Caenorhabditis elegans: one gene and its partners. Changing the gene in region 1 together with any one later gene gives a genetic interaction. Each region holds a gene or a part of one and is shown on either strand. Other genes may lie near its edges. The genes, in order: clk-2, F56D2.3, rpl-3 and mel-11.

Region 1 (8,457 bases):
AAGAGACGGACAATGAGGGGTAAAATGGGAAAAATCGATTATGAAATATGCTCAATTAGAGCTCTTCGGCTCTTCGTTCTTTTTGTGCTCGACGTGGCCACGACAATGACCGGTTTCACAATCCGAATCAGAATCCGAGCTTGAGTCTTGCCAATTTTTGGGCTTCTTGTAGATACAACAGCATTTGCTCTTCTTCTTGCCCATTCCTTCGTTATCCACTGTTTCGGTGGCCCAAACTACGTGTCGCCGTTCTGAAGTTGATGGCTGAGCTGGATTTGGACTAAGATGAAGCACCAAGTTCTGTTCTCGAGATGGAGGAACGGTGACAGTAGAGGTTTCAGTGCTTGAAGCAGTTTGTTGTTGAGTGTGGCTCATGTTCTGTAATTTAACAATATTTTTTTTTAATTGAACGAAAAATAGTGGAACAAAAAATAAGCCTGACAAATTCTCGTGAAATCAAGTAAACAGCAACAAAAATGTTTCATAATATTTTGTCCGAGTGGACTTCAAAAGACTGCATGGCCTAGAATCCAAATTCATTCCTCGTCCCCATGTGGTGAACTCCTCTCGGACAACTTATTCGAAGAACAATTTTTCATCGAATATTCGATCGAACTTCAATTTATATCGATGTTTCTTCTATTTTAGTGCAAATTTTAATCAAAAAAATTAAACCTTTTGTCAACATGGCGCGAAATTTTCCCACTGCTCTCGATTACCTGGGATCAGAAGCTGAAGATTTTAACAAGGCGCAACACTTGTATCTGAAACCGATGGCTGTTATAAAAATTACCGTAGTGCTGCCTCGGGTACGTTTTTTTAACTATCATAATTACATCGATTTATTATTTAATTGTAGATGACGATCCCGGGACAATCAATATCTAATTGGGATCTCATGGAAAGACTAAAACGTGCAATTGATCCAATTCAAATGGATTCTTGCAAAGTTCGTGAGAGCAATATCGACAGTGTTATTTTTGAAGCGGAACTTCTTTCGCTAGGAATCATGCAGAAAACGATGAAGATTCTCGATGGATTCTCTATGAAAGTGTCTGGATTTGCTGAGCCCTTGAAAGTTAAAACAAAAGAGGCAAAGCTTGATTTTCCAAGTCGTCATGATTGGGATGATTGGTTTATGAAACATAAGATGGACGAGATGAAACCCGGAGAACGTCCTGATACAGTTTATTTGGCAAGAATTCCAGTGAAATGGTTCTGCGTACGTTGCTCCATAACATTGCATTCGAATTTATTTCACCAAACACATTTTTAGGATGGTTACAATGATCTTCCTTCTGAACGACGTCTTCGCGTTGCAATGGAAGCGTTCGGATCTGTTAGAGTTGTCGACATTCCAATTTGTGACCCACTCCGATCTCGAATGAATTCAAAAATCTCTGGTATTCAGCAAAAAGGTTTCGGATTAGGGCAGGTATCGCAGTGTTTTATTTGTAAAATCAAACGAATTGAATTTTTAGGATGTATTTTTTGAAGCATATGTGCAATTTATGGAGTATAAAGGTTTCGCCACTGCCATGGATTCCCTGAGAAATCGTAAATGGGCAAAACGAATTGATGGACGGTTCTTTCAGGCTAATGTCAAGGTATAGTAGGGTAGTAGAGTTAGTTTGCAATTTTGAAAAATCTATCACATTATTTCTAAACGTTCAATATCAATTTTAAAAATTGCATATTCTTCGCTGAAACGAATCACCTCGTGCCACTCTACAGGTTAGTTAATTTCCCAGAATTAAGGTTGAGAAATAGCTTAAAATTTCATAGGTGGATTTCGATCGATCACGTCATCTCAGCGAAGTTCAAATTGCAAAGCGAGCGGAAGAACGACGTCAAATTGAAACGGAACGACTGCGGCAAGAAGAAGAGGAGTTGAATATCAAGTTTGTTGATGCTACAATTTTAAAAATAACTCACCTCTTCAGACGTCAAGAAGAACTGAAAGTTAAACAAGAACTCGATGATAAAGATAGAAGACGAGAAGATAGAGAACGGAAACGCCGCGAAAAGGTTCACTTGAAACGTTTCAAAAAATCATAATAAAACATACGAAATTTCAGAGGGAACTCGAACGAATGGCTGAAGAAGAGAAAAAACGCCTTGAAAAGGAACGACTTGAAGCAGAGCAACGATCACGAGCCACTCGCCGTTTGCAAGGTGTTCGTCTTTTGAAGTTTCTGTTTGAAAAAATTGAAGCACGAGAAGAGAGACGAAAGAGAAAAGAAGAAGAAAAGTTGAAAGATGAGCTGAGCAAAATCAAAGAACTTGAAGAACAACCTGTAGAACAAGAAGACGCATTGAGGCAAGCTCTACTTCAGCAGAGGGAAATTCGAATGCGAGAACGCTTGAAAGAGAAGATGAAAGCTTCAGGAGCAGAGAAGGATAAGAAGAGAGATAAAAATAAGACTTCTAGAAGAAGACGAACTAATAGACATGACAGTGAGTTACCTTAAAATTATTGTCTATTTTTTAATTAAACTTTTTTTTTCAGCTTCATCCTCTTCATCCGAAGATTCTGATTCTCCATCTGATTCTCCCCACTCTCGTCGACAAAGAAAACGTCAAAGTGAAGGAGATGATTTCCGGAGACATCATCATCGGGAGAAAAGTAGAAAACGTGGATCCTAAGAAAACGCGGATCCTATTTTTGTTTCCTATTATTTTACCGGTAATTTCACTTTTTTTAAAACATATTTTTTGATTTTTTTTTCAGAATCTCAATAAACGTATTTACCTCTATTTTTTCTCGTGCATTATTAAACCCTAACCTGGTTTAATTTACTACTCCACGTTCAATTACCTTTCCTGAACGCGAGCTTCGCATTAAAAACAAATTTTCAGATGAATTTACGAAGTCGCCTGGTAAATGCCACGGAACGTGCTGTGCTTTTTCAAATTTTCAAAGATGTGCAGAATGATCCGGAAAAGTACGACAATGCAGTTGAGGCGATCTGTGAATCAATCGACTATTTTGGCAAATTTTTGACCGATAGCGAGGTATTGTCCTGAATTCAATATTTGTGTAATGTTTTATATTTCTAATTGTAGTATCTTACACAAATCAAGCCGATTCTTGATACACAGTGCCCAACAAAGTCGATAATTTGCTTCTCGAAATGTTTGACAAAAGTGAGCACAGATATAAATACTACCACATTTCGAGATGTGATCACCATGCTCGACTGGTTGAAGTATGTCGTTGAAAAATCGCTGACAAGTGCTATTTGTAGCAGTCTGAAAGTTAAAGAAACTGATGGTATGTGATCAAAAATAATTATTCTTCAACTGAGGATTTTTGTTTTTTCAGTCAGTGCAGTTCAGTTGTATCGAGAATTCGCATCAGCATGTTCAAATATTCCGGAGAAAGTTTCGAATTGTTGTGCAAAGGCATTGTCTGGCGAGCATGTCAAATATATCAACACGGTTAAGTGGATATTCAAAGTGGGTTTATAAGTGAAATATCGAGATAGATAACTTCAATTTTCCAGATGAATCTGGTGCAAGGAATTCAAAAGGCTATGCTTCTTGCTCACGACGACATTGTAACTGCTGCCCCGTTCACTTCATTCTACGGATCCGGTGGTCCTTATATGAAGACTGTCGCAGAAATTATTTCATCTGGAAGAAACATAGATATCACCAACAAGGATGGGCTTCTAGTTCAAATGATTGAATGGATTGGTTCACTAAACAATTTTGATTCTCAATGGCGTCGGATGATGTTTCTCATCTTCCAAGAGCCCACATATCAGGGAATTCAAGTTCATGAATCACTACTGACAACATTGTTCCTAATTTCGAAAAGTGACCAAATCTTGAAAGTTAGTGGTTAAAATATAGTTGATTATATGAAAACCAGTAGTTTCTTTCAGCGATGTATCGAAGCCACTGATCTGACTGGAACACTGAAGCGTGTAGTGATGGTTAAGCTCCCGTTTCAGCGAGTTCTCAAACGAAAGACCATCGAGATTCTTATCAATTTTGTTTATCGAACTAAGGAACAATTTGCCATCCAGCTATTAGAGGTAGGGTTTTGAATCTATATTTTCCGTATTTAGCGAAGTTTTTTTCCAGACTTCTGTGAAAATCTGGAGTGATCTCAATTACGCAAAAAGTGCTCCAGAATCACAAGAACGACACATAGTCAGAATGATATTATACTTGGTTCATCTTTTCAGGTAACAAATATATTAAGAACTACAGTAATAACCTGTCCTTTTAGAACATGTTCTTCAATCGATTGGGAGTCACTCTTCCTGAACTCTATGGATGGAGTTCATTGTCGAATGAGCATGTTGCCTATGTACGTCCAAAGTGGTATTTTTGTTAATCAAGCACTGTGCAAGCAAGCGACAAAGCATCGATCGAAAACGCACGGATCAGATGAGCAACCTCCAGAGACTCTAGAAGAAAACAAATTCGTTTCAAGTGAAGTGGGAAAAATATGGTTTGAAGAGATGACGTCAATTTTGGAACATGGATTTAATTCTTCTACAGTGAAAGATTCTGAGCGAGTTCGAGAAACCGCCAACGAAATAACCAAAGACGATTCGGGTGAAGAATTTGAAGAAACCAATGCACAGCGTCTTCAAAACAACAAAGATTCGGCAGCAATCACATCGAAAAACAATCTACGTTTAGATTCTGATGATGACGAAGACTTTCCTGACTATCAAGTTAATGAATCAGAAAAGATCTTCAAGAATTTAGAAATTGGAGAAGAACCGAAAAATAAAGTGACACCTCCAGCATACATTGCAGATGCTTTCGAAATGCTATTAGAGAAAGAAAAATACGAGGTTTTTGAAGCAGCTTTCTTTAATATTACGAATTTGATCAATCGCCGGCCAATTGGATTTCCACAAATCGCTGAGAAGTTGTTCATCCGAATCCTCCATCTTCAAAACAATTTTGGAACGCCTAAATTCAAGGAAACTGTTGATGAAATTGCAGTTGCATGTATCACTCAGCGTCCAGAAATTGTCCCATCTGTAGTGCGTCTGATCATTGCACCAGGTCAAGGTTTCAGTATCAAACAACGTCTTCTTCATTACATTCACAATGCTGCTGATGGAATGGGTGCATTGGATAAGAAACTTGAAGAGTGTGTAATGGCGCAACAATTGAGAATTGGTGGTCCAACGTTAAGTATTATTCTTCATCGAACTATAAACACTGATTATGACGATGAGGATGAAGATCCCCACAGACTTTTAGTTCCTGAATGGCGACGAATGGTGGATGCTCGCATTGCTGCAAATACCAGAAGAATTGGAACGACGCGAGAGCCACCAAGAGCCGGAGTTGTCAATCGTCTCGCACAAGCTGCCAAATATATGTTTTATCCTTTGTTGGTTTTGCCACGTGGTGAGAACGCAAGTCTTTTGGTGAGTACATATGTTTCACAACTTGTCAATTCCTAGTTTATTACGTGTTTTATCTTAGCAATTTTAGAATTTAAACGTCTGATTACTCTAACTAGAAACATTTCAGGGCAAGGACTCCGATCTACTCGCCTCACTCATCATGGTTGCATCGATGGTTTATGTGAGATGTGGCGTATGTCCTCAAATTCATCGAATGTCAAGGTATACCTTTTAACAAGGTTGTGTACAAATTAGTTTTCCTGAATTTCAGTGAGCTTATATCATATGCAACGCCTCATCGATTCTCTGAAAACGCAAAACTACGGACTGCCTGCATCATTGCCCATCTGAATGTGACGACTTTGTTGCCTGGAGATGTTAGTTTGAAAATCAATTTTATTTGATGTTTAACCAAATATTCAGCTTATGGATGAACTGTTTGATGTACCGGCACTTATTGGATGGTTTGATTGGGCCAATTCTGTACTGGTTAATGCATCTTCATCACAATTGGAAAAGGATATGACTCGCCAGTTTGGTCATAGTGTTACAAAACACCTTCAACGTTATCATCCAGCTGTACTGCAACACCAAGACGTTTAAATAGTTACTATTCACTTGTTTTCCTTCTTTTCAAGTACTGTATCATTTCTTACTATCTTGCCAACACTTTGATCTCTACCTCGTTCACTTCTTGCTTTGCCACCCGTTGATATCACCTGTCTCATTCATTTATCAGCATGTTCATAATATCAAAAATAAAATCTTATCAAATGTATTTTACAAAACTGATTGAGTTGACCCGCTTGTTGAAACATTCCGGCTCTTGTGTTCTAGTTAGACGATGCTCCTGATTCGGATGACTTGGCGCGGCCCACGTACAGGTCAATTAGGTTCAGCTGAAAATCGAATGTCTCTTCAAGAAATTTAGTTAAATCCTTACTTTACTGGCATTTAAAGTTCTCAAGTGTGGCTCCATTCTTTGCATTCCAACTCTCTGAACCAGGGCGACTAATCCGAAAACTGCACATTTTCTTACTGTAGATGACATTGATTCGTAGGCAGTGACAAAACATGGTGCAACGTCATTGACAATTAAGTGTAACTCCTCAATATCAATATCTTGGAACATTCTCGTCAACATTTTCAGAATCAGAACACCACGTTGATCATCATCATCTTGACTCAAAATTCGCCTGGAGATCAGAACGACACGCGTAAGAGGCAGATGAGAAGCCAGGATTCGAAGACAATCTTCTGCTGCAACACCCATCGTGTTGTCATCAGATGTACATGCACATTGAAGAACTTTCGAAATTGCAATTTCTGTTGAATCGAACAACTTTGTCGCTTGAGCTGTGCACATTTTCTGAAGAATTCGGAGAGCAAGCTTCTTGCGAATCGATTGTGAGAATGTAGAAAGAATCTGAAATATAAATCTGTTTTTTTAAACAGTAACTTTGCCAACAGGTTCATGTACGCCTTCAATACAGGCGCAAAACCTAACTATATGCCTACAAGACATTGACTTGGAGATGATGTATTTTGCCCGGAAGACTATTTTAACTCGGTCAGAGCGGTAATCTTCTTCACGTCAAAGTAGGCGTTTGTATTCTTCAGGGTAAGTCTCTTATTACTGTCACAATTACCTGATAGATAGAATCCAGCAATTCGTCGAAAAATTGGTTCCAAAGAGTGAAAGAACCTTCACACATCATTCCATGAAGATTCGCCATCGCTTCGTTCAATTTATCAGCCTTCTCGAAATCTCGAATTGCGTCCAATTGATTTCGAATGTAGGCAGCTTGATCCACATGATTTTTGGCAAGATGGGCGGTCGATGTTCGATAATCAGGCGGTGGTGGAGTTGAATACTGATTTTCTGTTGCGATCCTCTCGGTTTGAGAATACTCTTTCCGTGTGGATTCATACGTTGAATAAGTGGTTTTCATGATTGGTTTCTCAATTTCTTCATTGTCCAATGGGCATGGTTTATAGTTGTTGTTGCTGCAAATATCAAGTATTCTCACTAAAACAGTATTTCTAACCCTCCAATCTAGCCTACATATTCATTTATTCTAGAATTATGCAATCCAATAATTACTATCTAACCTTATAAACCGTTCTTTTTCCTTTTCAATTGGCTTCTGGTTGTTCTGCTGACCATTCAACTGTAAAATTCGATAAGCCCAATCACGACATTCCGAAGGTAGCTCTCCGAAGATCATAGTGAAATCAGCAGCGTTGAGAGCAAACAAGGCACATACAAGACGTTCACATGCCTAAATTGAACAATAATTATTTTGAATATTTTATTTAGAGTATGTGTTAGAGAACAAAAAACGAAAAAAAACTAACTGGCATAAGAATAGCTCCAATTCTCGGATCAAACATCCATGCGAACATCTTCCGAATTGCAGCTCTTGTATACGGTGTATCGAGATGTGTTTGCCTCTCCAAACATCTCGGATCCTCTGGCCAAATCTCTTCGAAAAGCAGACAAATGTATTCCAGAAGAGCAAGTCTTGATTTTGGAGACAGTAAATGCACTGGATCACACATGAAATCACAGACAGCCTTCAGTTGAAATGTTGGGTCAAACGTGGTTAGGAACATCTTTTGAGTGGATGACAAAGCTGATTTGACATTTGGAAGGGCATCGGCTCCCATTTTAGCAAACAATTTACCAAGTGCAAGTTTTAGCCAATTATCCAGTTTCTTATATTGAAACTTTATAAATATGGAAATTGTATCAAGAATTGAAATAATTAAAGTATTATTCCCTTCTGCCAAAAGACGTGATAATGTGTCTCCAATATTCTTACACTCCAATTGACATAGGTTAGGATCAGTTATTACTTGATTCAAATTGACAATTGCATCTCGTTTTTCATTTAATGAAGAGCTGGTACATGCTTTGAGAATATGTTCAATACTTTGAACAGAACCATTTGAACCTGATCCAACTGAACCACTAGATGGTCTGAATGGAGAATTATTATTGTATGATCGGTGAACAGATGAATCCAAGTTGCTAGGCTTGAACGGAGAATTATTATATGATCTTGGAACT
Region 2 (7,339 bases), 1.9 Mb from region 1:
GAAACTACATCCAATCACTGAAGTGCACCATTGTCCAGCCTTTCCATTTGTTCTGCAAATTAAAATTTATCTACAAATCTATTCTGGTGATTGCGGCTGGATAAAATTTTAGTCCAACTCCCTGATTACCTCGTATTTTATCTTGAAAATAGTCGTTTTTTTGGACAAAAGGGGCGTGTTGGGGTAATATCTGACATTAATCTGAATGACTCCATACTCGTAGCGAACTCGTTCAATTATTCCGGTCGGATAAGATTCAAAAGATTTGATGATTCCCTGTGCCGCTTCAATCATGCCACTGACAGCTGAAAATAACTAAATTTCAAAATTGTTTCTGATATCGTACTTACGAAGCATATCATCCGGAGCAAAAAGATCCACTACTGCAACTGGGTCCCCTGATTTGATAGCTGCCTGGAACTTTTCGAAGAACTCCTTCGGTACGTTGGCATATTCTTCGGGGACTGGATCCAATGAAAAGACAATAGAAGCACTTGAAAGAGCTAGAAGAAAAATTGGAAGACGCATATTTTGGTTTGGCTACATGGCGAACTGAGCATTTTTATAGTTCGAAATGCTAATTCAATTAGAATGTGAAAATTGTCAATCAATGCGGAGGTTGATGTTTGGTGTCGTATTGATGATCATGATCATTTTGGGCATTTTGAAGACACCACATGGGTTCTGCCGCGTACGGTATCCGGTCTCGTCATGATAAATTTTAGCTGAATGAAAAAGCGTGTGCAGTGTGTGGCAGAGGAGTTGCGTCATTCCACGTTTAAAAGTGTGCCCAACATCAGATATACCTTTAATCCTCCAACCCGTCGGAATCAAGTAGCTCACACACACACACACACATACATAATCTGAGAGCACGTGTAGTTTTTGTTACATGCTCAATTCTAAAACAGAGGGCGCGAGAGAGAAAGAGGCCATCTCTAGGACAACGTACTAATGATAGAGAGACGGCATCCGCTTCTGTGTGATTATGTAGCTCTTTTTCTCTCGTACCTGCCTCTTCTTCAACTTGTGATATTATCCCACGTATTCATACTCTCTTCTTCACTTTTTGTTTGAAGCTTCTGGTTGCCTTAGGCCTCGTGGGATAATATGCAACGTTTTGTGCGCTTTAAGAATATATTCACTGTAGCTTTTTCAAATAAGATCCAGCTTAGGTTCAGTTAACGCGGCTCCGGAAGCTTCGTCACGAATTGGATTACTTTGACTTTCCAGATTAGAGCTTAAGCTTTCAGAAACATGCGAAGACGTAGCAACAGACAATATGTTGATCTCTCATATTTTCGCGAAACTGCCGATGCGCTATTATTCGACGTTGAAACCAATTCACGCGAATTCACCAATGAAATCAACACTGTGAAGGAGGAGAAAGCCAAGTGGGATGAGGTAAGCTTTCACACAAAGTTTAACTCGCCTGCCTACCTGGGACCTAGGCCTGATTTATGCCTACTTCAAAAGTGGGCGTGGCATGTGTCGAAATAACTTTTTTTCAGAGAACACCGCAAGGGTATACGGCAAAGCCAATTAGTTTTGAGGGCGCAGACATATGGTGTTCTTGGATATGTACAGTACCTGGACCGAGAGGAAGCCCCTGGGAGGGAGGGGAATATGAGGTTTAATTACTTTTTAGTTCGCAAAAGTATATTATCTCCAGGTTTCCGTGAACTTTCACAAATGGCCTATAATTCCGCCAATTTGTGAATTCAAAACGCCGCTTCATCATCCGAACGTGGACCTCAGAGGTTGGTTAGAACTGTTTCGAAAAAATATGTTTGAGTGTGAAATACAGAAAACGGTAGCAAAAAGAAACGCATTATTACAAAAATCTTTACAGGATCAATTTATCTTAAAATGCTGGAACAAGAGCACTGGTCTTCTGAAACTTCACTCAAGAAACTTCTGAGGGAAATCAGCAATCTACTTGCAACGCCCGATCTTACTCAAGCTGCAAATATTGAAGCCTGGATGGAATATGAGAATCAGCGGTTAGATATATTTTAACGGCGCACAGCTGCAAATGTGAACAAACTCGGCCACCTATTCTTCTAGGCCACTTCGATTTGGAGCTAAGCGTCGTTGAACAGAGAAAAGAGAACACTTAACTTTTAAAATTATCTTGTTCCAGTGAAAATTACGAGGCTAAAGCTCGAGCTTATGCTTGGACAGTTAACCCGAACGCCGTGGGATACATGGAAGTATCCGAGAATTCCGGAATTCAGAGGGAGACAGCAAAGGCTAAGTTGGCAGTGCAAAATGGTGCCATGGAATCGGACGAGGATGATGACGATCTACCAATTGACATCGAAAACTAATATTACACAAATTTTTATATTTTTGGTATTGGCCAACGTTTTCTGTTGAAGACCTTTTCCACTTTCTCAAAACTTTCTTGCCGACACTCTATGGAATTTTTCAGATTTTTCTCCAAAAAGGTGCCAATTTTCTATACACATTTATTTAAATCCCAATGCCCCTTTTTTGCAGCAAACTTACCTGACCTATGTGATAATTTTTCCCATTTTCCCTACTTTCCCGATCACACCAATTTTTCATTCTCTTTCCAAAACCATGTCTTTTTACGAAAAAAGTGATTATTGTACCAAATAAAGCTATTCCAAACTCGTTGAGTCGGGGTGTCCTCCCATTATCTCTTAATGAAATGGCAGAACAAGAATAAATCTACGTAGTCAACATTTGTAGGCAGGGAGGTATGCTTGACTAAGCTCCAGTCTACTAAGGATTTAAAAAACTCGGCCACCGATTTCTTGTTCTCGGCCACGTTGCAATGAACCGCAATGCCCTTCAAAAAGAGGTGATACTCGTGATTGCACGTCATTACCTCATCCCCAATGTCTATATTTACTTCTCCCGCACACCTTGTCAGATATCTGCACTGTTCATGGTGTGCTCATCGCCTCGCGGAGAGAGCTCTAACCCAAAAGTTTTAAACGTAAAAAGCCGGAAACGGTATAGGTTTATCGGTTCACCGAGAGCGCGCCTAGATCGTGTGGTACCGCCCCTCCTCGCCTCCCGTCAAAGGTCTCTATTTACTCCCAAACAGTGTGCTCTCGGAGCCTCCCGATCCCCCTCGCTGACCATTGTCCACTCCACTCGACCGTGCACAGTTGACTCCTTTTTTTGTACTAGTCGGTTGTTGGAAATGAAACGTATTCTTTTGATTTCTCTATTTTCGGCGGTTGTCAACGGCTTTTACTACAAGAGAACTTTATACGGAGATGCTAATGAGGGAGCTGCCATGCCAGACTATGTTAATGCTTATTATGTGAGTTTTCTTGGCTTGTAGGATTTTTAAGTGGCAGTTTCGGCAGAGATTTCACATCTAAAATATAGTTTTTGAGTTGTTTTGCAACAAGTCAGCCAAAAAATCGGTGGCCGAGTTTTTTGCTTTCCGCGGCCACGTAGCGAAAATCCCAAGGTTAATTATTACAAGGTCACAACCATTTCGGTATGTTGTGTAGATTTTTCTAATTGAAACTAGATCAGAACACAAACGCCTGCTTGCTTGCCTTCATTCACCTACGCTTGTATCAAGATTGTGCACATTGAAAGTAGGCGTGTAGACAGGCACGTAGGTACCAAGGACTGAAGATTTCATGAAAACAACACCAAACACCAGAGTCCAGCAAGAAAAAAAACCAAAAAATAATAGGCAAGCTTTCATGAAAACGAGTCTGCCTACCAAGCCTTATTGAAAATTCTGAACATTCATTTTCCAGGGTTTTCCAACAATCCCAACACAAGAGCCACGTCGGCGACCATCTTTCAACATGAATCCACCACAAGGATATTTTCATCGGGAGCATCCATTTGACTTTGGGCCATTTGGTTATATGAGAGCAAGGTAAGTTCCGGAATAGGTGGCCAAGTTTTATCTCCTCGCGGCCACTTAGTAAAAAACTGACCGTAGCGCCAGATTACAACGATAATCTATTCAAAACTCACTTTAGACGGTACCTTAGCAACAAATAATCTTGATTTTCCTTCAGAATTGGAGAAGCCAACTTCGGTGAGCCCATGGAGAAAACTGACCGCGAGCGAGCTATGGAACGGGCCAAACCGGGATTTTGGCGTCAAAACCAACGCGAAACCATGGATCGGATCAAGAAAATTATTGGAGAGCAGAGAATGAATATGGAGCAGAAGCAAATGCATATTCGAAGAGTTCTAGCAAATGAGAGTGATGAGATAAGGGTAAGAAGATAAATAATTTTTTCTCAACAAACACAAACATTTTTCAGTCCAAATTCGCTGATATTCACAAAAGACTGATCATGAAAAACAACAAGATGACCGTCTCCTCTCCAGTTCCAGAGCTTAGCAAACAGGCGAAGAAGCTTGAGAAAGAGGCCAAGAAAATTATGGAAAACAAGAAAATGAGTGTAGAGAAGAAGCAGGAGAAACTTGACAAACTTATGCTTAAGGCTCCAGAGAACGTTAAGAATGAGCTCAATGCTATGAACGATTCGGGGTGAGCATTGAGTTTTTCATGGTAGGCAAGACGCGCATGTAGGCAGGCGCAGGTTGCATGGGAGGCAGGAAGCAGGCGTTACATGGTATTCCTAAAAAGATTCCAATCCGTGTAACACTCTCGGAGAATTCAATCATATCAAAATTGATTGATGCTTAGTCGATTTTTGTGTTTCTCCTCTATTGCTCTCTTCGAAAAATCTCAAATCTTTCAGATCAACACCTGCCCCAATTCAAGCTCCATTCCCAGCTCCAGGACAAACCGAGGCTCTTAATCGGGCAAACCCATCAATGGCTTCTCAAGTTGAAGTAATGACTCGTAATGCACCAACTCAAGCAGTGGTTGAAGCTCGTCAAATCCGAGTTTCCGAAGATGGAAAAACTGTGGAAATTTAAATAATCTGTGCTCTATGAGCAATTCTTCTTTTTGTGTATTTTACGTCTAATTTTCTCAACTGCCCAACGTCTTTCCCTTGTGCTCCATCCCCAGAAACGACGAGCTATCTGACTGTATATACAAGTGATTTCAGCTCGGCGTTTGCTCACCTGCTCAGTTCGCCTTCTGTAAATATAACCTTAATCCATTCAAAATCGTTGTTATCAATCTCAGCATATCAATTGTTTATCAGTGTTATTTAAATAATAAATATATGGGATTTTCTGCGCTAATATATTAGAAAACTCGTATCTTTCCAATAAAAAGTGGAATTTGAACATCCACGCTTTGTTTCTGTCAGATGGAGCGCGTTTGGTGCATGTTTTTTCAGCGGTTTTTTTGCCCTTTTAAAAAAGTCTAGATTTCTAAACATTTTGAACGCGATACCAGTTTTTCTTGTTCTAGTTTGTGTTAAAATAATTTCTACTAAATTTCAGATGTCAGACGACAGCCGTGAAACTCAGTTATTCGAGCTAGAAGCACTGGAGAGTGTGCTAAGGGAGAATAAATTGACGAGAATCAGTGATTGGGCGGATAAAAATGCAGAAATTCGGGGAATAATTGAAGTAGAATATTGAGCGTATAAAGAAGTTTATTATTAAATTTTTTCTTGATTTCAGGTAGGATTTGACACATTATCCGATCCAAAAGTCACAATTGAAGGAACGTCTGACTCCAGCGATCATTTTTCCATCCCCCTAGACATTCTTCCACCAATCCGATTGAAATTTCATCTTCCAAATGATTATCCCTCAGTATCATCACCAAAACTTGAACTGGAAAGTTATTGGATGAATCAGGAACAAATGACATCTTGTGAAACCGAGTTGGCAAGGATTTGCGAGGAAAACCAGATGATGGAGGTGCTTTTTATGTGCTATCAAACGATAATTGATTCGGTTAGTTTTTTGTTCTTTTTAACAAATTAAATATATAAAAATAAGTTTCAGATAGACCAATCTCACCTAAAAATCATCAATCTGAACGAGGCGTGTGCGCTGAAAAACAATGGAGAAACTATTGAATCGCTGAAAAAGAAAATTCTTGGAAAAGGCGAAGAAGCTGCTGAAGAGCACTTTGTCAATACACTTTTCGATTGTGAAGTAATTTTTTCGTAGTTATAAAATTATACTATTTTTTCAATCTTCCAGGTATGCTACGACTCTCAAATGGGCCAACATTGCATCAAATTCCAGCCGTGCTCTCACGTTTTCTGCAAACAATGTACTTTCGATTATTATCGTACAATATCGAAAGGTGTTGTGGTAAGATCCAATCGATTTTTTTTTTGGAAAAATTGGATCATTTACAGTCAAAAGCCATGCAGTGTCTAGCAGAAGGATGCAAGAGTGAAGCACAACAAAATACGGTTAAGGAGGCACTCGGAGATGATTTATATGCAAAGTGAGATACATTTCCAAAAAAAAAAATCCAAATTTGAATTTCCGCCAGATACGAGACGATTATGCTGGAGAAGGCGATTCGAGAGATGGAAGACACCGTGGAGTGTCCCAGAGAGAATTGTCAAAAAGTCGCCTACGTCACGGATAGGTATAGTTTAAAATATAAAAATAAATGTAAAAAAGAAGAACATTTCAGACAACGCTTCCTGGCCGAATGCTCCTACTGTAACTTTTCGTTCTGCAATCTGTGTAAGCAGACATTCCACGGAATAGAACGCTGCAAATGGAAGAAAGGAGACAAAGAGCTTCTTGTCAAAAGATGGAAGGATGGAGATGAAGCTGAGAAGGCTGAAATGTGCAGGCAATTTGGAGGAGAGAAGCGTGTCGAGGAGCTTGTGGAGCGGTTCCTCAATGAGGAATGGCTGGATTCGAACAGCAAACCGTGTCCCAAGTGCTCGGTGAGCATAGAGAAGAATGAAGGATGCCACAAGATGCACTGTACGAAGTGTGACACCTACTTCTGTTGGTTGTGCTCTGAAACTCTTGACAAGGAAGATCCTTATAAGCATTTTCAGGGAGATGTTGGTTTTTTCTTAGAATTGTGTAAGAAATGTATTTTTCATTTTCAGGGATCATGCTCTGGACGTCTGTTCGAAGGAGTTCATCACGATTTGCTAGATAACGATGACGATCTTCTTTTCGATATGGCATTTAACGACGGTAGTGACTATGACAGTGATGAGACCGTCGAGTATCCTGAATCCGACGAAGATATTGATGCGGAGGATTGGTTAGAGCAAGAAGGACATTTTGACGAGCTTTTCTTTAATTAACATAACTTTACGGTTTTCTCTAAATTTACGGATTAATTGTCAAATAAAATGAATAGTTCATCCTTTTAGATTTGGTGATTGATTTAAAAGTGAAAATAGAATTAAAAGAAAGGGGTAAGAAATAAACAAAAAATAAATAGAAACAATCAAAAAATTTGACA
Region 3 (6,938 bases), 3.6 Mb from region 1:
CGCTGCAGAGTTTTGGTTACGGCGGACGGAGTTTTTCGAGGAGCTAAACCAATTGGGCTCAAGTCAATTGCGGATGCAGCTGCCGTTCTCGCATCGCAGGAAGATGTCAAAGTGGAAGCTATCATTATGGTGGAACACTTAAAACGAGTCACGAAGCCTGATGGAGTGGAACTTCCCAAGGTAACTAAATATAATAAATTTAATGCTCTAAAATGCTCAAAGTAGTCTCAAATTCAGAAAAACCAGAAAAAAATTAAGTTTTATTGATTTTTCATTTAAAATTACAACAAAAAACATTTTTCAGGTCGATTACACCGATATCACCGTCATCTACGATTCGGAGATGCTCAAGTGTGCAGGCGTGGATTCCCCGGTAGAATGGATGGATTCTGAAGATCCGCTATTTATTCTCTACACATCGTTAGTTCAGAATTAGAATTTACTTATTTCTCATTTAATTCAAATTGTTAATTTTCAGTGGCTCAACCGGAAAACCGAAAGGTATTCAACACACTACAGCTGGATACATGACGTACGCCTACGCAACCACAAAATACACTTTTGATGCACAAGAAGACGATGTTTACTGGTGTACTGCCGATTGTGGATGGATCACCGGACACTCGTACCTTCTTTATGGACCTTTGATGAATGGGCTCAAGGGAATTTGGTATGAAGGTGTGCCGACTTATCCGACTCCTTCTAGAATGTGGGATGTCACTGATAAGTATGGTGTGACCAAGCTGTATACCTCACCAACAGCCGCAAGAGCTCTTATGGCTCTCGGAAATCAGTGGCTTGAAAGGTAATAATTATTCAAAAATAATTGTTCAGCATCTTTATTTTTAATTTTCAGCTCTTCTCGCAAAACTCTCAAGGTTATCGGAACAGTTGGAGAGCCCATCAATCCTGCTGCATGGATGTGGTTGTACAAGCAAGTTGGACTTTCCAATGTATCCATTGTGGATACTTACTGGCAAACTGAAACTGGAGGACACATGATCACATGCCTTCCAGGAGCAACTCCAATGAAGCCAGGAGCAGCTGCAATGCCATTCTTCGGAGCATCTCCAGTTCTTTTGGATGCTGAAGGTCGTGTTATTGAAGGTCCGGGAGAAGGATCACTATGCTTTGATCGTGCCTGGCCTGGAATGATGCGTGGAATCTATGGAGATGAGCAACGCTTTGTCAAGACCTATTTGGCTCCATTCAATGGATACTATTTCACTGGAGATGGTGCCAGACGTGATGAAGATGGATACTTGTGGATAACTGGACGTGTTGATGATTTGATGAATGTCAGTGGTCATCTTCTGTCTACTGCTGAAATTGAATCAGCTCTTGTGGCTCATGAGAAAGTTGCTGAAGCTGCCGTTGTTGCTGCTCCACATGACATCAAGGGATCCTTCCCATACGCATTCGTCACTTTGAATGTTGGAGAGAGAATCAATGAAAAGCTTGTGGCTGAGCTCAAGAAACTAGTTCGCGAGAAAATTGGTGCATTGGCTGTTCCAGATGTTATCCAAGAAGCTCCAGGACTTCCAAAAACTCGTTCCGGCAAGGTTACCAGAAGAATCTTGAGAAAGATTGCTGAAGGATCCGAAAGTGGAATCGGTGATACTACTACTCTAGTCGACGAATCTGTCATCAAACAACTAATCTCTGGACGTTCTGCACGTGCATAAACGAACTTGAACAATTGTAAATCAATTCAATTCTTACTATTAATGTTACTTTTTCTGTATTACTTCTCTTTTCCCCCTCTATCGTTGTAATTTCTGCAGAATCAATGCAAGATCTAAACTTTTAACCCCAACATGACCTTCTTTGTAATCAAGATGCATTCCCTGATTGACTCCTGTGTAGAATTAAATTCCAGTGTTGTAATTTCCCCCAGTAATTTATTGAACCCTGAATTCGAAATTAGAAAACAAGTAAATGATTCAGAACTGATTAATTGTTTTAACTCAATTTCAGATTTTCAGATAACAATTTTGGCTTATTCGGATAATTAAAACACGAAACATGAAATTACAAGAAGAAGATTAAATACTTACATGGAGAAATGCATTTCATATGCCCAGTGAATCTGATGTTTAGCTCAATTTTTATGAATTATGATAAAAACCACGAAAGTTCAATACAAAATAATATTTGATTTAACTTGCATTGCAAAATTACAGGAAAATGAATTATTTTAAGCATAAAGTGTGTTGTTTTGATAGGCCGTTTGAACAAAGCAAATCGATTTTCTTGATTATATAATGATGCTTCAAAATAAAACTTGATTTACATGAATATTTCCCGTTAAAAAACAATGTATTTAAAAACATTATTATTTGCAGAATCTCTCCAACTGCGAAAGAAATCGAATTCAAACAACCGCGCTTGTCGTACACTTGTACACTCCGCCGCCACAGCTACGGTAAAAGCGTGTTTTGCGACGCACAAGTGTGCGCCGAGTGTGTGGGTCTCCCAACGCCTTTCACTGGCCTAAACTTCATTTCAATTTGTTTTAGCCTAAAATTTTCATGTTTTTTTCGAATAAATTTTGTTTTTTTACGTGCAATTCTAAATTTAAAATGTTCAAATTAGTATCTGTCTAGAAAAGTAGTTATTTAAAAAATTTTTTAACCGAAAACGCAATTTTTATTCTTTGTTCGCTCATGCTTTTTCTATAATTTTTTCGTAAAATTAATATTTTTCAGGGTACAACAATGTCTCACCGAAAGTTTTCGGCCCCGAGACATGGACACATGGGATTCACCCCAAAGAAGCGCTCCCGCACTTACCGTGGAAGAATCAAGGCTTTCCCAAAGGATGACAAGAGCAAGCCAATCCATTTGACCGCTTTCCTCGGATACAAGGCCGGTATGACCCATATCGTCCGTGATGTCGATAAGCCAGGATCAAAGGTTAACAAGAAGGAGGTTGTCGAAGCCGTCACCATCGTCGAGACCCCACCAATGGTTATTGCTGGAGTTACCGGATACGTCGACACCCCACAAGGACCACGTGCTCTTACCACCATCTGGGCCGAGCACTTGTCCGAGGAAGCTCGTCGTCGCTTCTACAGCAACTGGTTAGTTTATTTTTCAACTATTTCGTTTTTTGTATTCAGTGTTATGGTGCGTTTTTGGTGTCATTTGGTGGTTTCGTGATTACAAGTCTGTATTTGCAGTCGCGTTTCTAAGTCGGTTGCCTTCCGCTGTACTTATGTACATGATGGTAAACGAACTGAGTGGCTAAAGCGTCCTGTACGCTGAAAGGCATTTTGTTCGTAATCGTAGAAACTACAGGGCTAAATCCAAGAAGAAGGCTTTCACCAAGTACGCCAAGAAGTGGCAAGATGAGGATGGAAAGAAGCTCATCGAGGCTGATTTCGCCAAGCTGAAGAAGTACTGCTCTTCTATCCGTGTGATCGCTCACACTCAGGTAATATTTATATTTAGTTTGTTTGTATTCTTAAGTTATATTTTGCAGATGAAGATCCTTCGCCGTCGCCAAAAGAAGGCTCACCTCGTCGAAATCCAAGTCAACGGAGGAACCATCGAGCAGAAGGTCGACTGGGCTCGCGAGCATCTCGAGAAACAAGTCCAGGTTGATACCGTCTTCGCTCAGGATGAGATGATTGACACCATCGGAGTTACCAGAGGTCACGGATTCAAGGGAGTCACCAGCAGATGGCACACCAAGAAGCTTCCTCGCAAGACGCACAAGGGTCTCCGCAAGGTCGCCTGTATTGGAGCTTGGCATCCATCTCGTGTCGCCTTCACTGTCGCTCGTGCTGGACAAAAGGGATTCCATCACCGTACCATCATCAACAACAAGATCTACCGTATTGGAAAGTCTGCTCTCACTGAGGAAGGAAAGAACAACGGATCCACCGAGTTCGATCTTACCCAGAAGACCATCACCCCAATGGTTCGTTTTATTTTTTTCACCGTTCTATGAAGAAAAAGTCTGCAATTCGTACTCTGTATGGCGACTATATTTTATCTGAGAACATCGGGCGTTGTAATCAATTTTCATGAATTTTTAATAATTGTTTTGTTTTAGGGAGGATTCCCAAGATACGGTATCGTCAACCAGGACTACATCATGCTTCGTGGAGCCGTTCTCGGACCAAAGAAGCGTCTTATCACCCTCCGCAAGTCGCTCATCACCCAAACCAAGAGAGTCGCCCACGAGAAGATCAACCTCAAGTGGATCGACACCAGTTCCAAGACCGGACACGGTCGCTTCCAAACCACAGCCGAGAAGCGTGCTTTCATGGGAAAACTCAAGAGAGATTTCCTTGCCGAGGCCGAAGCTAAGGCTTAAATTTGTTTATTCAAATAAATTGTTATTGTTATCAAATGTTTCTTCACTGTTCACATTTTGAATACACTTTGAGTATGCTTTTTTGTTGAATCTGAAGGACTATGCTGCTTGTATTGAAGAATAATAATCCGAAACATTCATTAGGTATAACATTAGAAATCTGGAAGGGTGTTAGACCCGGTAATTGTTAAGATAAAAAGTTCAATTTAAAGAGGGAGTTAAAGGGTTCGAATTTGATGGGTTCCTGAGTTGGGGGTTGATCGACTATTACACGTTGCAGGAAATAAAACAGAAAAAGTGAAACGAATGAAACAGATGGAGATCGGAATATATAAACAGAAAGATTATAAGAAAGTGAAGTTTCAGAGTTTTCTTTTTGGTTTCATAAAGACATCAATCACATAATTTATAGAGATTATTACAATTATTATTATTATTTGCAGAAAACGGCAGGGCATTGGGTAAATGAGGAAGAGAGAGAGACAGTTGAAATCATAGATTCTACGCTTTGAATTTCCAGTTTTTTGTGGAACACTTTTTTTGAGGTTTTGACTGATTTAAAATGAGGGTCAAATACATTAAAACTTTCGTGTGGGATGATTGAAAGACATTGGGAGTTTGATATTTGATATTGGGATGGTTGAAGAAAATTGGTTTTTTGTTGGAAAATGGATAAAATGAACCGGCACTTGATGTATTGATTAAAGAAGAGACTTAATTCCGATCGGAAGTTGTGGATGCAGAAGGCTGAATTTTCCTTCTCGTCGATGTTGCACGTTCTTGTGATCCAGTTGGTGTAACTGAAAAGACTAAAAAAATTAAATAATATACCAAGTGACGATGTTTCAACAACTTACACGTTGGCGTAGGAGGTTCCATTCTTGGTCCACCGATGCTTCTGGATGGCCCAGTACGGCTTACTGTATTTGTGGTCTGCCACCGTTGTTGGGTAGTTTTTCGGGAGATAGAAGGCATCTGAAAATAAAAGATATAATTGATAAAACCTTCGAAAATCGAGCACATAAAGAGCTATAGTAGTCACTAAAGGAGGTACTGTAGTTTTCTTTGTTACCATTACGTATTCTCAAATTTTTGTGCTCGTGCAATATAATATTTTGTGAATAAACTCACTTCTTTGGTGGTCGGTGTCGTTCTGTTCAACTCTCCAGTAATAAAACGTACAACTTTTGCCATACATGCATCCTGATAGTCGTGAACCCATTTAACACCATTATACTTTGTAATCATTCGAATATCATTCGGAATTTGATCTTCTTTTGTTGGGAATTCGAATGCAGTATCAAAGATTGGAATAATGTTCTTCTGGTGTTCAAATGCACATTTCAGCTCTTTGTGCACCCAATCCTCACAGTTATCATCATTTAAAAGTCTATCCAAACTGTTTGGTGTGAGAACAAGGATGAAATGTTTGGCGGCTTGAATGTTCTTGAGCAATGAGCTGTCGAATTTTCCAGCATACAACTTATCGACATCAATGAACACTCTGTATCCGCGGAGTTGGAGGAGTACTTTAATGAGACTTGCGAGTTGGTTTCCTGTACTTCTTCTGTATGAAATGAAGACATCAATTTGCTTGGAGAGCATTGCAACTTCCACGTCATCCGGATGTTTTGCGGTTTCAAATGCTTGTGTCAACTTGAGTCGATGAATCGGGTTCGTGATTCCACAAGCGTTTTGCATCATTTCGTCGGTGAGTGAGGAGAGAAGAGACCGGTTGACTCCATTTGTGAGCATTTGGTAGGTGTAAACAGAAAGTTCTGGACTTAATCCCATCAAGAAGTTGTCCAAATTCGACTCGTCAACCGATGAGTAATCAGCAGCAACTTTTAATGTTTGAAGCTCTCTTAAGAATCGTTTTCGATGAAGTCCAGAGATCATTCCAACATCATGCTTCAGATCATTCTCAGTTAATTGAAGTAAAAGATCTCCATCGACCATTTGTTTAGCGAACTTCTCAACGTACTCCTCAAAACCAATCTTCTTCACCCAATATTGAACATCTGCGCATGTCCAGCCAGGTACTTGTTGAGCGAGTTTATAGGGAACCTCTTCGCCGATAACCGTGAGTGCTTCGGAGGCGAACTTGGCAGCGACCTCGTCTGGAGAGGAGGCCACTTCTTTTAATGCTTGGATTGCACCGATTTCCTGAAAATTAAATCTTATTAGACTGTAAATATTTTTTTGAAATATTGATATAGAAAACGGTATTGACAGCTGGCATACCCAATTCAAAACTTTCTTCATTTGATATTTTCGTTCAGGAGTGGAAACTGTCATAGCCAGAGGAATATGAGATAAGTAATGAAATATGATAAAAGAGCAACAGGACTGGCAGGACTGTACTGAGCAAGAATGAGGAAATTAAGCCCCGTCCACCTGTGGTTGACCTCATTATTACAGTTGCGCCATAGGAATGTTCAAACAAAACCACCTGTACCGTACTCATAGAACCTAGTTGCGTCAAGTTCATTGCGCCATATCTAAGATGTCATGGAAATTCAAAAAAGGGCAAGAAGAAGATTTCTATACGTATAGAATTTCAAATGGTCTCTGCTCGACCGATTACGTTATCTTCACGCAATCGGTCAAATGGT
Region 4 (7,705 bases), on another chromosome or scaffold:
AATTTCCTGATAATTTATTCTTGGGAATATTCCGAGACATCCATATCCGGTACCAGGTGTACCAGACAGGTGTTCAAGCTGCTGCAGTCATTCATTCACACGTCGGTGCTCCCAACACTCCCCTCAATACCTTCCTCTCTCCTTTTTTTAGTTCTCGTCAATTTGGCTTCCATGTTTGTCAAATCGGCAACTGCAGCAGCACCTCCTTTTGGTGCCACTCGAATGCAGGAAATGTGTGTGCATTTTTTGTCGATATTTCTCTTATTGAGCCTAGCCGACGAATGTCACCTTGTCCGCTTTTCTAATACATTCGAGATTTCAAAAGCTAAACAATGACAACAAATTGAGCACTACGTTGGTCCCCTGCCATTCCCAAGCTGCTACTTCCTTTTGCTTATGCTTTTGAACATCTTTCTCTTTTCTTACTCTTCTCATCCAATTCTCTTCGTCAACCAATTCACACGCTTCTTGTCAATGTGTACATGTTCGTTTCCCTCCTCCTTCAAAACCAGCTGTTTTCCGTCCAAATCTCATCACTCTACTCCCAATTGATCCTTCGTACTTTTTATGTGGACCAGCTGATCTGATGATACTGCTGATAAAGTACATGTCTAGAGGGCTATTTTAAAAATAAAGTAGATATATTTTCTGAACATTTTGTTTTACTAGAATTGACTTGTAAGTTCTTCTATTGTTCAAAATTAGCGAAACATTTCTTTGACTCCATATCTTGTCTTCAGTCTTTGTTACCGCGATCAAATTCCTTTTCTTTGTATATACTTGTCCTATGATAGTGAACATCTCAGCGCCGCACCGCGAATACCTCGGAATAATCAATCCAAATTAAGGACATTCTTGATAATATTGTGGCGGAAGAGGCATAGGCGATCGTCAATTCATAATAGTCTAGATTTTCGGGGGAGAACTGTCCAACGAGGCGGTAATTTTTGAAAAAGGGAGTGTCCAATTTATACACCTGCTCGCGAATGATTAAAAAGAGCCAGCTGTTTTAACAGAATAATATACAGTAATAAGGATTTATTGAAATCTTTACCTTTTGGATTTCCGCCTGTCACTTCTTATAGACTGTAAAATTAACTTCCGTTGTTCATCCCTTTTCCGGTATAGATTCACACCTAGATACGAGACTTTCGGAGTCTCACAAGAAAGATCAATATCTTTGGCAATGGTTGAGTACACGAAAAGAACGCTTTGATCAGACAGTTATACACAAAGTTAGGTGATCTGATCAGTGTGCACTTGTACTCACAACTTCTCGAGACTCTATTATAGATGAACGTAGATGTTTGCTCATTCAATTTATGTGTGTTTTTTCACTTCAAAGAGTGCACACATAATTTATGTATTACACACACGTTCTTTGTATTCTATCTAGCTGCCCTGGGAAGTGTATCTCTAGTTTATGACATTCTGATGCTCGCCTGTGGCTTTGAGTACTCACGGTGACTGGGCCGTAAAGTTGATACGATTTCAAAACAAAACATTTTAGGTTTTTCTAACTTATTACATGCTTTTTCAATGATTGTTCTTTTGTACCTCATTTTTGAAGTGTTCTTGCGTGGGCAGTAAATACCATCTTGACCTGGTTCTTAAAAAACCGCAAATCGTTGACAAGTGCTAATAGTTGTCTCTTTCTCTCTATTTACAACCATTTTTTGTGTGATGCTGCTACCGAGATTTTTCAAGAGTTCCAAGAGCTTATTAGTAAGCGCTAACCATCACCACGACCACCAAGCAGCACAACAGGTTAAGGATGATGATGAATAAGAGAACGGTGAGAGGAGGATCGGGAGAAGGATGATGGGAAGAGAGGGCAACCAGCCAACTGCCGCTGTGTGTATAATGATGCGGGAAAAGAGAACAGAGCGAGAGAGTCGAAATATATTGAGCGGTGTTTAATAGACGCAGACACGCCGCGTGCAGGCGGAAAGTTTCAAGTACGTCCCTCCCGGTCTCTTTCTCTTGGATGATGGTGTATCTGCGTCTCGAATCACTAATTCTCTCTTTCTGTCTATATCGTTGAAAATAGAGAGAGAGAGAACGACCTATCCATCGACTTGTCGCCCCTAATCCCGGGGGCACTGTTCCATTTTTTCTCTGGAATTAGTTCAATGTGTCCGTTACTCGAAAATTGTTTTTTAATTTCTCATTTTCTGAACATTGAACCTAGATTTTTTAAACAATGAATTTTTAATTTAAATGCCATAGCCAATGTTTTATATTAACATTGATTGCAAAAAAAAAAGAAATGTTTCTTTCCAAAAATATAACATTTCTTTTGAAATATAAACATTGATTGGCAATTTTCAAAAATTTTAAGCGTTTTTTACAGAAATGCCTTGCCTTTTTCAATTATTTTTCCAAATTTGTTTAGTTAGTCTTCAATGACTCACCGCAAACTTTTTTTAGAAACTTTGGAAACTCTAAATATTTCATTTTATAAAATTTTTGAACATAGATATTTTACACCAATATTTTTAGAAAACAAATTGCACCGGAAATAGTGCCCAATTTCATAATATTTGTTCTCCGGTGTATCCACAATCCAAAACCACCTTTATCACATCACTTTATCTAATTCTCTAAGCCTTTTCTGATCTTCACTGCCTCACTATTTTCACCCACTTGCCGCACTTTTCAATGGATGAGTGGGAGTTGTATTGATTAGTATTATATTTATATATCCTTAAGGATATATTTTTAATGGCGGAGTCCATGGATAGTTTGCTTAAAATTATTGAAAATTGGTCCTAATGAACGAATATATATATTTAAAAATGGTTTTAAATTATTTATAAATTTGAAGTTTGAAATTTTTTTTTTCAGTTTTGCCAAAAAATTCAAATTGCACATTTTTGTTGCAAAATTAAAAAAAATTTAGAACCATTTATAAGTGTTTTATAATTATATACGGTATTCGATTTTTCGATTTTTGGTTTTTTATTTAACAAGAACGTTGCATTTTTTAGATTTTTTTTTTTAGAAAAACCCGTAAATTTTTTGATTTTTTGGTATTTCGGAAAACCGAAAAACCGGCAGATTTCGAAAATTCGGGTATTCACATTCCAAGATTTATACGCAAAAGCTATGAAACTTTAGTCAAAAGATTAATCGAATAGTTGTGGTCTCATATTTCAAAAGAAGGATGAACCGGGAAATGAGTGAACGTTAAAGTAGTGGTGGTGGGATATGAAGAGTAATTGACTTGGAGGTGGTCGAATACGCGGAATAAGTCTCCGGTTTCAGTCACACGCTAAACTGGTCATTTCTTGTGGGTGTCTGTGTGTGAATACGAGTCATTTTTCCCAAGCTTCATCGTTTGATCTATTTTTTCTCGTTTCCAAAACCATAATATTTTTACAAAATACTTTATATATTTTTTGGAATTTCTACCCATTATTGTATCAATGAAACGAACGTCATTTGTATCACTTTTCTCATCGTTCTTTGCTTTTCTGATTGAACCTATCTCAAACAACAACATTTTTTACTAAAAAAATTTCATATTTTGCAGAATGGGTCAAGATGACGAGGACGATGCGCATATGCTGCAAGCAAAGCAGCAAATCACTTTTAATGTTGTGAATAAGAGAAAGGTGAGCTTTTTTCAAAAGTTTGAAAACAAAATTCAACAAAAAAATAAATCTGTAATTTTTGCGAAAAAAAATTTGGTAAAAACCTCGTTTATCACAAATTAAAATAGTAAAATAAAACTAAAATTTTCTTCGTTTAAATTGAAGAAATTGTCTAAATTTATATTTAAATTTCAACATTATAAATTAAAAATCAGTTTGAAATTTCATTTTTGTTAAAAGTGATCTTCGAACTTTAAATATCAAATTTTTGGCCGACTTTCTTCGGTTTTTGCGCCAAAAGTACGGTACCCGGTCTCGACACGAAAGATTTCTGTTAAATGCGAAAAGTTATGCACCTTTAAAGGTTACTGTAACTTTCAAAAAGGAATTTTCATTTTTTTTTCCATAGTTTTCATAGTTGTCTTTTTTTGTTCAGTAAATTAATATATTTTCAAAAACGAAAAACGTTAAAAAAATCATGGAATTTCACAACAATAGTAGGTTGAAATTACAGTACTCTTTAAAGGCGCAAGCCTTTTTGCATTAAACATAAATGAATCGTTTCGAGACCGGGGACCCGTTTTTTGACGTGAAAATCTTTAAAAAATTTCATCTGCTTAATTTTCCAGTTTGAAGCTTGTTCAGTTTTTTTGTAGTTTTTTTTTTCGAATTAAAAATTTGAGAAATTTAAAATTATTCTAGAGAAAGTTTCTGAAAACACCTTGCTCTCTATGATTTTTTGTCTGAACCGTCGTTCTTCCTTCATTTTCCATGTTTCCTCCTCCACCCCCGTTCTCCATTTTTCCTGCCATTTTCCATACAAACACATTGACAATAAAAGTGAGTCAGCGGGCACAGGGACACGACGACGGCGACGACGACGACGTCTCTTTCGTCTCTTCTCCGGAAAAAAAACCACCAAAAGAGAACGTTTTTTGATCTTTTTTTGATAGTTTCCACAGGCTTCCGGTTGAACTTTTTTCTTATCAGTGTCAAGTTTTGACTCATTCTAATCGGACGATTATTCGTTTTATTTTTTTCCATTTGCTTTGAAACTTTTTCTCTTGATCATTCAAAAATTAATTTCTAAAAAAAATTACAAACCAGTAGGTATTTAGTGAACAAAAAAAAAACGACAATCACGACCGAAATCCAGTCGTTTATACTTGTTAATCAATTGTGCAAACAGGTGCAAACACAATTTGTGAGCTCTCTCGGCGTGTGCCAACTTTTACTCTTTTTTACGCCGAGGGTTCGAAGTTTAAACATTCAATAAATTTAATATTTTTTAAACAAAAAAAACCATTTATTTGTAATTTTTAAATTTTCAGGATCAATTGCGCCGTTGGCAGAGCAGCGAGATGAACGCAGAAGCAGCTCGGCGAACGAAACGTCCAAAAGTACAATTTCAAGACAGTGATATTTTTCTGTCGGCATGTATGTCTGGAGATGAAGAAGAAGTTGAAGAACTGTTGAACAAGGGTGCCAATATTAATACTTGTACAGTTGACGGGTTGACCGCATTGCATCAGGTGAGATTTGCATTTATTATTGACAATTTGGTACTTGTATCGTCCATATGTGAAGTTTCGTGAATTTTGTTTAAAAAAATACGATACCCGGTCTCGAGGTGAACCTAAAGGAGTACTGTAGTTTTTCTACAGTTTCTTCAAAATTGCACATGTTTTTCAATAAAAGTTAAACAAACGTTTGAAAACGTATGAAACATCGAGGAAAATCCTGCAACAACAGAGAGCAGGGCTGGAGCAACGAAATTACAAAAAAAAATGAAATTGATAAAAACAAAACGAATTTAATTTGGAATTTATTTTAGAAAACAACCTTAACTTTTTCTGGAAATAAAAGTTCAAAAATAAATTTTAAAAAAATTCTTTTTGAATCCTTAAAAAACACATTTTTCGTAAAAAAAAAGTTCTTTAAAAACAGCTACAGTACTCCTTTAAGGCGCACAATATTTTAAATTTGGTGCTTCGAGACCGTACTTTTGAAACAAATCGCAACGTTTTGCATATGGATAGAACATTGAAAAATTGAAATATTGCATAAACAAAACATTCGAAATTGAATATTTTCAGTCGGTAATTGATTCAAAACCCGAAATGGTTCGATTTCTTTGTGAAAAAGGAGCCGATGTGAATGCACAAGATAATGAAGGATGGACACCTCTTCACGCAGCTGCATGTTGTGGAAATGTGGCAATAGTCAGATATTTGTGTCAACATGGAGCCGATCTCTCAATAGTTAATAGTGATAAAGAGTTAGCACTTGATCTTGCAGTAGATGAACAATGTCGTGATTATCTTGACGATGATTACAAGCGACAAATGATTGATCTCGATGCTTGTAGAGATCAAGAACTTCAGACAATGTTGAAAGATGTGAATATGTGGATGAGTCAGGGAGAATATCGAGATATTCCTCACCACAGAACAGGTGGAACTGCAATGCATGTAGCTGCTGGGCGAGGATACACACAATTACTCGAATTACTTATCAAAGCGGGTGGAAATGTACGGGCACAGGATGTCGAAGGATGGACTCCGTTGCATGCGGCTGCACATTGGGCTGAACGAGATGCATGTAAAATATTATTGGAAAATGGAGCGGAATTATCGGATCTAACGTTTACGGTAGGGGTTTACAGTTTTTCTGTTGCGGTTTTCAAGACCTGGCGCCTGCTTGAAACCTACCAGCCACTCGCCTATTTTCTGTATTCTGGCGTGAATTTTCAAATTTCTTATCTTCGAATTTCAATTCGATGAAAATCAAATTTAAAAAATAAATGAGGAAGGCAGAGGTCGCCTTAATTAAGCCAGGCAGGCGTTTCGACGCCGACATGGAAGTCCTATCAAAGAAAAACGACAACAAAACTGAATTTAAAAACATTTGTCATACCAAAATATGTTTTTTCAAAGATAAAAAATATTATTTACTGAAAAAATGTACAAACTTTATTTTTATCAAAAGTATATAAATTCACACCAATTGCTTTAAATTTTTTTAAATTTTTATTTAAAAAAAAAACAATTTTCAGGGTGCTGACGTTCTTGGAGTAGCTGATAAAGAATGCATCGATTATCTTGTCGAGTTGGCTGACACTGTGAAAGTACAGAACAAGCGAAAATCACCGGGTAGTGGCTCCCAGCCACCAACTTCAATACTTCAGGAGAAGAATCATAGAATGCCGTCACACGAGGAACATGTTCTGACAAGTGAACGGAAACGAGATTTACAGCATAAGGATCAGCATAGGTGGGGGTTTAGAAATTAATAATTTGAAAATTTAATATTGGAAAGTTTTATTGGGAAAAATCTGAATCAGAATTTCCTCAAAAAAATATTTTAAAAACATTGCATGTTCACCCTCAATTATTCCACTATATCCTATCGCTTCTCTATTTTTTTGTCTATTTTTTTATATTTCTCCAGTGAAAACGAGTTTCTTCACTCGCATCCATCCACTGCATCAGTTGGCTCGACCACATCATCCAACACAAATACCACCACAACCACCATTGTTATCGGTGAAAATGATATTTCTGCTGCACAAAAAGATTCAAGAGAATCATCGAAAGAATCAGCTGTTGATGATGAAGAATATGTCGCAGAAGATGAAATGGAAGAAGCTGAAGAAGATGAAGAAGAAGAAGATGTTGAAGAAGAAGAGGAAGAAAAAAGTGAAGCTGAATTAAAAAATGGAAAAGAAATTTCACCGCTTCGATCGGAAACTACAAGTTCGAGGAGTATATCTATAACGAGGTGAGTGAGCAGGCTTTTGAGCTGGAAATTTATGTTTTCTCCTGCAATTTCCACCACCCTATGAGTTTGAAACTTCTCCCCTCTCATTCAGGGACACGTCTGCAAGCTTTTTATTTTCGAGAATTGCTCGTTTTAATTTCAAAAAAAAAACTGAATTTTGTTCTTAAACAGGTCACAATCAAACCTTTAAAAATCATTAAAATTCAAATTCAACTGAAAAGTGAATTTAAAAAATCTACTGATGTTGTTTCCTCGAAAATTCCATTTTGAGCAAGTACGTTATTACCTAGACGCGAAATTTTGTCATTTTGCGGTATTTTTTATATGAA

Evidence for each region.
Region 2: changes in clk-2 (region 1) and F56D2.3 together harm fitness more than expected from each alone (negative genetic interaction), as found in Caenorhabditis elegans (one large-scale study listed by BioGRID).
Region 3: changes in clk-2 (region 1) and rpl-3 together harm fitness more than expected from each alone (negative genetic interaction), as found in Caenorhabditis elegans (one large-scale study listed by BioGRID).
Region 4: changes in clk-2 (region 1) and mel-11 together harm fitness more than expected from each alone (negative genetic interaction), as found in Caenorhabditis elegans (one large-scale study listed by BioGRID).

The regions. Positions count from the first base shown.
Region 1 is NC_003281.10:7,512,927-7,521,383, reverse strand, and holds clk-2 (Telomere length regulation protein clk-2), read left to right. Parts: upstream 1-2,859; coding exon 2,860-3,015; intron 3,016-3,066; coding exon 3,067-3,274; intron 3,275-3,325; coding exon 3,326-3,459; intron 3,460-3,506; coding exon 3,507-3,839; intron 3,840-3,890; coding exon 3,891-4,043; intron 4,044-4,092; coding exon 4,093-4,196; intron 4,197-4,240; coding exon 4,241-5,405; intron 5,406-5,511; coding exon 5,512-5,606; intron 5,607-5,655; coding exon 5,656-5,761; intron 5,762-5,807; coding exon 5,808-5,987; 3' UTR 5,988-6,162; downstream 6,163-8,457. Other genes in the region: C07H6.2 (E3 ubiquitin-protein ligase PPP1R11), read right to left, coding at 52-375; akap-17A (RRM domain-containing protein), read left to right, coding at 687-809, 860-1,222, 1,277-1,435, 1,482-1,607, 1,786-1,901, 1,944-2,028, 2,079-2,457, 2,510-2,646; cls-1 (Protein CLASP-1), read right to left, coding at 6,218-6,283, 6,328-6,810, 7,034-7,391, 7,497-7,666, 7,743-8,457. UniProt on the Caenorhabditis elegans protein: DNA damage checkpoint protein required for DNA damage-induced cell cycle arrest and apoptosis, thereby playing a role in genome stability. Regulator of telomere length.
Region 2 is NC_003281.10:5,581,884-5,589,222, forward strand, and holds F56D2.3 (DUF148 domain-containing protein), read left to right. Parts: upstream 1-3,063; 5' UTR 3,064-3,178; coding exon 3,179-3,301; intron 3,302-3,755; coding exon 3,756-3,880; intron 3,881-4,025; coding exon 4,026-4,230; intron 4,231-4,277; coding exon 4,278-4,507; intron 4,508-4,721; coding exon 4,722-4,902; 3' UTR 4,903-5,227; downstream 5,228-7,339. Other genes in the region: F56D2.8 (DUF4440 domain-containing protein), read right to left, coding at 5-52, 130-305, 351-528; uev-2 (UBC core domain-containing protein), read left to right, coding at 1,258-1,404, 1,512-1,631, 1,673-1,760, 1,853-2,003, 2,144-2,330; F56D2.2 (RBR-type E3 ubiquitin transferase), read left to right, coding at 5,380-5,508, 5,563-5,841, 5,893-6,045, 6,094-6,207, 6,255-6,346, 6,395-6,493, 6,542-6,926, 6,975-7,178.
Region 3 is NC_003281.10:3,865,146-3,872,083, forward strand, and holds rpl-3 (Large ribosomal subunit protein uL3), read left to right. Parts: upstream 1-2,708; 5' UTR 2,709-2,717; coding exon 2,718-3,082; exon of another isoform or gene 3,083-3,084; intron 3,085-3,183; exon of another isoform or gene 3,184-3,299; coding exon 3,300-3,435; exon of another isoform or gene 3,436-3,437; intron 3,438-3,483; coding exon 3,484-3,924; exon of another isoform or gene 3,925-3,926; intron 3,927-4,059; coding exon 4,060-4,323; 3' UTR 4,324-4,442; downstream 4,443-6,938. Other genes in the region: acs-19 (Acetyl-coenzyme A synthetase), read left to right, coding at 1-180, 305-420, 479-805, 857-1,685; tir-1 (ADP-ribosyl cyclase/cyclic ADP-ribose hydrolase), read right to left, coding at 5,038-5,132, 5,181-5,298, 5,455-6,489. UniProt on the Caenorhabditis elegans protein: The L3 protein is a component of the large subunit of cytoplasmic ribosomes.
Region 4 is NC_003280.10:9,354,998-9,362,702, forward strand, and holds the start of mel-11 (cGMP-dependent protein kinase interacting domain-containing protein), read left to right. Parts: upstream 1-3,533; 5' UTR 3,534-3,536; coding exon 3,537-3,617; intron 3,618-4,927; coding exon 4,928-5,128; intron 5,129-5,692; coding exon 5,693-6,247; intron 6,248-6,651; coding exon 6,652-6,869; intron 6,870-7,046; coding exon 7,047-7,376; intron 7,377-7,705.